Macaca mulatta: one gene and its partner. Each later gene encodes a partner of the first gene's protein in a complex. Links are inferred from orthologs where the notes say so. Each region holds a gene or a part of one and is shown on either strand. Other genes may lie near its edges.

Region 1 (3,851 bases):
GCCCTGACTCTGGGGGCAGTCTCGGGAGGTCCCAACTTCCTTCCTCACCCTGTTTGTGCATCTGCTCATTCCCCTCCCACCATGACTGGAGAATCGAAGTTACCATAATCCCGGTGGAAAGGAAGTGGCACTCACGTCAGCTTCTGCAGGGCGCACTGGGAGACCCTCAAGGCATCACTGAGAGGCGTCACTCCCTGGTCTGTCACCTCATTTCCTGCCAGGCTCAGAGACTTCAGGCTGGGAGAGGTCGTAAGGATTTGGGAGATCTTCAGGTAACAGGCGTGGGTCAATCCACAGCGATCCAGCCTGCAGAGACAGGCAGCATGAAGCAATCCCAGCTCTCGCCCAAAGCAGCCCATTTCCCCTCTACTCAGCACACGCCAGTGGCACTGGCCATTTTCCTGGTCCTCAGACTCTGTCTGCTCCTGCCTCTGGGCCTGAAAATTTGCTATTCCTTCCATTGCAACCTCCCCTCCTCCCCCCTCCCTCAGGTCTTCATGGGGCTCATGTCCTCGTTCATGTCTCTTGAAGGTCGCCTTTCGGGTAAGCCACACCTTAAACAGTGCCTGCCCCACCTCCCTCCATTGTTTCAACATTCATAGCAACGCACCCCAGCCTTTTATTTTTATTTTTTTTTTTGAGACAGGGTCTTGCTCTCGTCACCCAGGCTGGAGCGCAGTGGCTCAGTCTTGGCTCACTGTAACCTCCGCCTCCCGGGTTCAAGCAAGTCTCCTGCCTCAACCTACCGAGGAGCTGGGATTACAGGTGTCCTCCACCACACCCGGCTAATTTTTGTATTTTTAGTAGAGACGGGGTTTCACCATGTTGGCAAGGCTGGTTTTGAACACCCGACCTCAGGTGATCCACCTGCCTCAGCCTCCCAAGGTGCTGGGATTACAGGTGTGAACCACTGTGCCTGGCCTGTGTTGAATTTTAGACAGAACTTTTAGAGCTCTCCAAGCCTACACATGCTCCTGCCATGTGTGCACACATCATTCTTTCTGTCTTGTTTTGTTCTCCCTGTGCTGGCCTGTGAGCATCAGGAGAGCAGGAATCTCGTTTCACTCATCAGCACATCCCAGGAACTTGTCGTAGTACTACACACAGAATCAAGCATCTGTCATTATTGAATAAAGGAAAGTTCCAACTCCTCAATGTGACAGTGAATGGAAACCCTTCACAATGTGGCCCAATCCATCTTTCAATGTCAAAGTCTACCGTTTAGAGACTTAGCTCATCATCCCATCCCTCTGTACAATAAATACTTTGGGGAATACGGGCCAAGTGTTGGGAATAGAGCAGTTCTAGGTTCTGGGGCTACAGGAGTGAAGAGAATAGAACAATACCCCTGCCCCTGTGTGTTATGAGAAGGGAAATTCATTAGACTTCCAGGAAACTGGACCTAAGTGACTTCAATGCTTTTTCCTTTCTTGGCCCCAAATAGCCTAGATCCATCTTTTCTGACAACGTGTATATTTATTCTTTGAATCCAAGCTCCAGCTCTCTGCACTTGTGGTGCAGAGTGAGCAAAAGAGTGAGCATGTAGCTTCCTCCAATCTGTTCCCAGATAAACCCCACGTGAGGTCAGGCACAGCATTTCCGTCCTGAGACGATGTCTATGCTTTGGCCAATTTCCCTGGGTTACATCTTTTTAAAGTACAGTTCCTTGGCTACCAGGCAAACACACACGGTGCAAAGCAAATTCTTATTATTCTTTGATGTTAGTTGATGTGCCAACTAACAAAGCTCAAAGCAGGGCTTGTACTTGTCTGTCTCAGAATATTTGGGAGGGTGCAGCAGGTGGATCACTTCAGGTCAGAAGTTCGAGTCCAGCCTGGCCAACATGGTAAAACCCCCATCTCTACTAAAAATACAAAAATTAGCCAGGTGTGGTGGTGCACGCCTGTAATCCCAGCTACTCGGGAGGCTGAGGCAGGAGAATCACTTGAACCCGGGAGGCAGATGTTGCAGTGAGCTGAGATCACACCACTGCACACCAACCTGAGCAACTGAGCTAGATTCAGTCTCAAAAAAAAAAAAAAAAAAAAAAAAAAAAGGAAAAGAAAAAAGGAAAAGAATACTACATAAACATTAAATAGTTGTATCTCTAGACCAAGCTAATCTAATGAACAAACCACCTTCCCAGGACTTGCAAACCACAGTGAGAGCCCCAAACCGGAACCAACCAACCAACCAACGTGTCCCTGGACAGGGGAATGGTTCAACTGCAGTACTTCATAGCATCGAATGGCTGTCGCCAAGAGAAAGGAAGAAAATGTCGAACACTTGACTGCTTGGGTGGATCTCAAGCACTGACGGAGCAAAGCCCGTCTCAGGCGACGACATACCACACTGACTTCACTGTAAGAGCATTGTCAAGGCCGGGCACGGTGGCTCACGCCTGTAATCCCAGCACCTTGGGAGGCTGAGGTGCACGGATCATGAGGTCAGGAGATCAAGACCATCCTGGCTAATATGGTGAAACCCTGTGTCTCTACTAAAAAAAAAAAAAAAGAAAAATAAAAAAAATGAGCCGGTCGTGGTGGCGGGCACCTGTAGTCCCAGCTACTCGGGAGGCTCAGGCAGGAGAATGGCATGAACCGGGTAGGCAGAGCTTGCAGTGAGCCGAGATCGCACCACTGCACTCCAGCCTGGGCAACAGAGCGAGACTCCGTCTCAAAAACAAACAAACAAACAAACAAACAAAAAAACAGACCAGACTGGGCAACCGAATGAGACCTTGCCTCTGCATAATTTTTTTCTTTTTCTTTTTCTTTTGAGATGGAATCTCGCTCTGTCACCCAGGCTGGAGTGCAGTGGTGCCCTCTCGGCTCACTGCAAGCTCTGCTTCCTAGGTTCAGGCCATTCTCCTGCCTCAGCCTCCTGATTAGCTGGGACTACAGGTACCCGCCACCACGCCCGGCTAATTTTTTTTTTGTATTTTTAGTAGAGACGAGGTTTCACCGTGTTAGCCAGGATGATCTCGATCTCTTGACCTTGTGATCTGTCCCCGCCTCGGCCTCCCAAGCATAAAAATTTTTAAATGAAACTTTGAGGTTTTTTTTTATTGTGATAAAGTATTTATAACCGAAAATGGACTATTTTAATTATTTAGGTGTGCAATTCAGTGGCATTAAACTCCTGCAACCATCACCCCCATCCACCACCAAAACTTTTTCAGCTCTTTAATTTTTGCCTCTTTCTGTAATTATTTCCAACAAAAGCAAAAACGAAGAAACAAAAGGCAAAAGCCCTACCAGAGACGCACCTCAAAGACTCCAACAAACATTTTGGGTGTTTTAAGGCTTCACACGCCATCCTTACATCCTCTTCCTTCAGGTGGGTGCCTCCCAAATTGAGGGATCTTAGGTTACGGTTGGCAATGAGGGTTCTCCAGAGGTGCTGCAGACCAGAGGCAATCTGTGCGTTCCTAAACCTGCAGGAGACGGGAAACGGGAGATGCATGTGACACTGGTGACGTTTTGTTGTGACCTCACTTATCCTTCCCATCCTTCTCCCATTCTAACTTGCAAATTTCTAATTGTATTTCCTTGTAAAGCAACGAATACCTGAGTGCCTGTGATGGGCCAGCTACTGGGAATAGCGTATGAAGCAGTATTAACAATCCCTGCCTTGAAGAGCTTAATCCATCCAAACCCGTCCAAACCTGGTGTCAAGGAACCTGCTTCAGTAACACAAGGTTTTTGTTTGTTTTGTTTGAGATAGAGTCTTGCTCTGTTGCCCAGGCTGGAGTGCAGTGGCGCAATTTTGGCTCACTGTAACCTCCACCTCACTGGTTCAAGCAATTCCCTTGCCTCAGCCTCTCAAGTAGCTGGGATTACAGGCACGTA
Region 2 (4,526 bases), on another chromosome or scaffold:
GCTCACTTGAGTGGTAAGACTGGGTTCTTTCTCTGCAGTTTCCAAATTCTCCATGATGACTTTTATAAACAGGAAGACAATTTCTTAGGTAGTTGCCATTTGGGAACACCTACTACATTTCTTATTGAATCCGCACAACTTTTTCAAGTACTGTCCCATTTTATAGATGAGGAAAATGAGGGACAGGGCCTATTTCCTTAAAGTCACAGGAAACAGAGTTGAAAAAAGGTTTTTATTTTACAAACTGTTCTTTCCTCTATACTGTGAAGGAGCAGAAGCACAAATCTAGTAAAAAACAAACTTCCCAAACCTCGATTTAAAAGGTTTTGGAACTGGTTCTCATTCCCTAACAGTAACTGAAAATGACTCAGTAGAAAGTCATCATTTTTTTAAGGTTTTTATTAAAACCTGCCAAATTCATTATCTGAAATAAACACAAGTACACATCTCATCTCTGCACTATTATCGTAAACTATATTCTTGTTTAAAATTTCTACTTTCATTCCATAAAATATATTATCGTTTAAAATTTCTACTTTTATTCCATTATTGCCCAGTATTTTAAATAAGTGAGATGAATGTTTAAAAATATAAAAAAAGCATCTTATAAACTTTTGTGAGAAAGCTAGCAATAGGGTGAACAAGGCCTAGCTAGAGGTCAGGGATCTGCATGTTTAAGGGTAAATGAAATCCTTATTTTTTGGACTAATTCTTATCTGGTGGAATATGAAGTGCTCGATTCCACCTGGCTTATCGGCTAATTTCTGCATTACCTTGGATAAATGCCATTTGCACACTCCCTACCAGCCCTTAGGTGCATTGCAGCCTCTGTGTCATTGTGTGTGACATCACTTGGTTGCTATAGATATAGGTGCGAGGTCACTCGCTTTCCTGTGGAACTAGAAATACGGAAAAATTAGAAGAGTCTAAATTAAATAACACGAACTGAAGATATTTCCAATACTGATACCCATTAGAAGTGCAACTTACATCATTTGAGCATTAAAACCTTGTAAGACAGCAGCTGTGGCCATAGCAGTATTCCGAATTTCAGAACCGGTTCTCTTCTTTAATAAGACAAAAACATTTCTTTGTTAAAATACCTGGTTTAAATGTAAAGGTATCAGCATTGTCCTCTTTTGAGAACCAGTAAAGTTATTCAAGAATTGATCTGTAATATCAATAATGCTTCATTTAAAAGATGTAACATGCAAGGTACACTCCAGCATCCACTTTACAATGGAGATGCATTTGAAAAACCTTTGTTACATAAGGCAGGAAATTAAATATTAAGATAGTGGGGGCCCGAAATCATTAATTTTCTACCTTTCATTTCATAATGTTCAATACTTCCCCCTCCTCTAATATCAAACTGGTTGACAGCCCATTAGATAAATGTAGTGTTACTGACAAAATGGTGCAATACAGGGAGGAATCTGCAACCCAGACAAAATGCGACAACTGGAGATCAGTATTCTCTTTTCATCAGCATGAAGACGTACTCGCTTTAAAAAAAAAAAAAAAAAAAAAAAAAAGCCTCAGATGCATCTAACGACCAAAAATTTTTAAAAAGACTTTTTCCCCTTTAAAATAACTCCTCCCAGCCTCCACCCAGTCTAGGCTCTCTGCAATATGACAAATGCAGAATCTTCTGGAATGACTTGATACTGCCTCTCACCACCGCTTTGTTTGCACTATCAGATCAGACAGAATATTTTTTCCCCCAACTTATAGGAATTTCACAGACGCGTGCCTGTATTCAAAAAAGAAACGGCATATGTCACACGGATCGAACCAGTCAGCTACATTCACCACCTTTTATTTTACAGGCAATACCTACCCTTTTCAATACAAAAACATTAGGGAATAAAATGGAGATGACATGTTGAAAACGATCAACGAAAACGCTAGCGAGACAAACGTTCCCCCTTCCTAAAAGCCGGAGGACTTGCTTTGGGGGAATGGAGAAAGAAGAGCCTTTTGTTAAGAAAAACGTGAGCAAGGTGGTTTCGATTTTGCGCCACGGAGCTCAGGTTTTCAAGAGACCCTATACAATGTTTCTGGGAAGATTCACAGGGATCTGTCGGGACAGACAGTGGGGAAGATTTTGGGGGGGCTGGGGAGGTGGAAAACCGGGAGACCTGCTGAGTGAATGGGAAAGGCGCCGCCCAGACACCAGGGAGAGAAAGAGGAACCGCATCCATGCGGTCCCCCGCCCCCACGCCCGGGCTGGGAGGAGGGGGGAAGTGGGGCACAAAGGATGCGCACGCCTCCCCGCTCGGATCCCCTGTACCCCTAGAGCCGCTGGGACCGGAGACCCCGCTCCCAAGTCCAGCCCCGCAGGACCCCGCCCCGCCCCGCGCCCGCGCCGGGCCAGAGAGGCCGCGCCGCGGGGCCCCGGGGACGCCGAGGAGAGGCCGCGTCACAGCCCGTGTTCCCGTCGGCTCTGGGGACCCTCCCCGGCCCCCCTCAGTGAGCGAGACGGGGCGGTCACCCCACCATCGCGACAGGGCGACGAAGCCCCGGGCCTTCCACGCCAAGGACCGCGTCTTCGGAGGGGCAGGGAGCGGCGGGGGAGGGGAGGAGACACTCACGTTCTTCATGGCCGCGGCCATGTCGTCGTAGCGCTCCGCCTGCTCGGCCAGCCGGGCTTTCTGCACCAGTTGCTCGCGGTCCACCATCTTCGCGGAGCTGGGTCTGGCCGGAGAAGGAGGAGGACACTGGGGTGGCGTGAAGGGCTTGGAGGGCGCGATTGGAGCCCAAGTGCCGGAGAGGACCGACCCACGGAGCGAGCGGCTGAGGCGGCGGCTGCGCGGAGGAGGCGGCTGGAGCTGCGACCGCGGGACCGGGAGCGAGGCGGCTGCGGCTGCTGTGCGTGCCACGGACGGACAACCCCCTGCGGCCCCGCCCACGCCGCATGACGCAGGCAGGCCCCGCCCGCTCGTCCGCAAGCCCCGCCCAGGCCCCGCCCGGGCCCGGCCGCGGCTAGAGCTCCCCGCTCCCCAACTCGGCTCACTGCGCGTCTTCCGGGCACCACGTCCTTTCCCACTGCGCCCCCACTCTCCTCTTTATTCACTTCACTCCTCAGTTCCCTCACCCCAGCTTCTCCAGACGCCCCCTTATCCCTCTCCCTTCAGCCCCCCGCCCCGCCAGGCCTCCGACGCATGGGCCCTTGGGAGTTGTAGTGTAACCTGCCGTGGGCCGAGGCGTTGAGAAGACCGAGGACAAAGGGGCGGTCAAGACTACAACTCCCAGCGGAGGTAGCGCGCAGGCGCAGGAGGACTGGGGGGGTGGTTCGAATCCCGAGGCCGCTGGGGACCCCTGGCGGGGATCAGGGCTGCATCAGTCCCTGCGAGTGCTGATTCACCGCCCCGCCCCATATTCTCCGGGAAATTACGAGAGGAGGGGGCAGGGGCCTCAGTCCTAGACCCTGTTTCCGAGATCACGTAGCAGGTCGTGGTGGGGGAAGGATAGGAGGCGCGTCCTTTGTAGATCCAGACTCTCAGTGTGGTGCCTGCCCGCGGGATGGCTGAATTAAGGGGCCAGACTCGGGGGACTGTCACCTCCTCCCCCTACGAGCTTCCACTAACCCCCCACCCCACCTTGAGGCTCTTGGGCCTGACTAGGTGAAAACAAGGACGAACGACAAATACCGGCTGGCCACACTGGTTGGTTTCCAGAAAGGATGCAGCTGCCTGCTGGCTGACCCTGGAGAACCCCTTCTTCCTCTCCAGGGTGGAGTGCTAAAGATTCAGTTCAGCTACCAGGAGCCTACTCCACGCCTTAACGGGCTGTGTCTGGGGCTTAGTTGTCCAGCCCTTCTCTCCCCTCCTAGGCATACGTACCTACTGAGGTCACGCTGATATATTCTCGTTCATATTATTCCACGTAGCTTAAAGATAGACTAGGTTTTTTTGCTTTGTTTTGTTTTTTGTAGAGACGAGGGTCTAGCTTTGTTGCCCATGCTAGTCTCGAACTCCTGGGCTCGAGCGATCCTCACGCCTCGGCCTCCCAAAGTGCTGGGATTACAGATGTGAGCCACCATGCCTGCAGGCCCCATAGTTTTGACTACACATTTTATTTACTTTATGTATTCAACAATTATCTGTGAGAAGCTACTGTGTTCCAAGCCCTATTCTAAGCCACAAGGTACAGTAGTGAACAAAACAGAAAAAAATCCCTTCCCAAGAAAATAGGCAAGATATGTACAGTATGCTAGAAGTCAATAAGACGTGAGCTTTGAGGTTGCAGTGAGCTGAGATCGTGCCACTGCACTCCAGCATGGGTGACAGAGCGAGACTCCATCTCAAAAAAAAAAAAAAAAAAAGGAAATGAGCTTTGGCTGGTCTTGGTGACTCACACCTGTAATCCCAACACTTTGGGAGGCCGAAGCGGGTGGATCATCTGAGGTCGGGAGTTCAAGACCAGCCTGGCTAATGTGGCGAAACCCCATCTCTACTAAAAATACAAAAATTAGCTGAGCGCCTGTAATCCCAGCTACTGGGGAGGCTGAGGCAGGAGAATCG

What was found. Proteins that work in one complex are often made in the same cells at the same time.
Region 2: the proteins of NLRP5 (region 1) and YWHAG are in contact, whole or in part, in a cryo-EM structure (PDB 8XI3), measured with the Mus musculus proteins. The link is inferred for Macaca mulatta from reciprocal best matches to the Homo sapiens genes NLRP5 and YWHAG. Residues at the interface, in NP_035990.1 of Mus musculus: Ser1030, Cys1031, Ser1055, Gln1058, Cys1059, Pro1060, Val1061, Glu1084, Phe1087, Val1088, Lys1089; in NP_061359.2 of Mus musculus: Phe201, Tyr216, Thr220, Met223, Gln224, Arg227, Asp228, Thr231, Ser235.

Annotation. Positions count from the first base shown.
Region 1 is NC_133424.1:68,394,627-68,398,477, reverse strand, and holds part of NLRP5 (NACHT, LRR and PYD domains-containing protein 5), read right to left. Parts: intron 3,437-3,851; coding exon 3,269-3,436; intron 307-3,268; coding exon 136-306; intron 1-135. UniProt on the Homo sapiens protein: Component of the subcortical maternal complex (SCMC), a multiprotein complex that plays a key role in early embryonic development.
Region 2 is NC_133408.1:49,994,436-49,998,961, reverse strand, and holds the start of YWHAG (14-3-3 protein gamma), read right to left. Parts: upstream 2,921-4,526; 5' UTR 2,682-2,920; coding exon 2,595-2,681; exon of another isoform or gene 1-2,594. UniProt on the Homo sapiens protein: Adapter protein implicated in the regulation of a large spectrum of both general and specialized signaling pathways. Binds to a large number of partners, usually by recognition of a phosphoserine or phosphothreonine motif.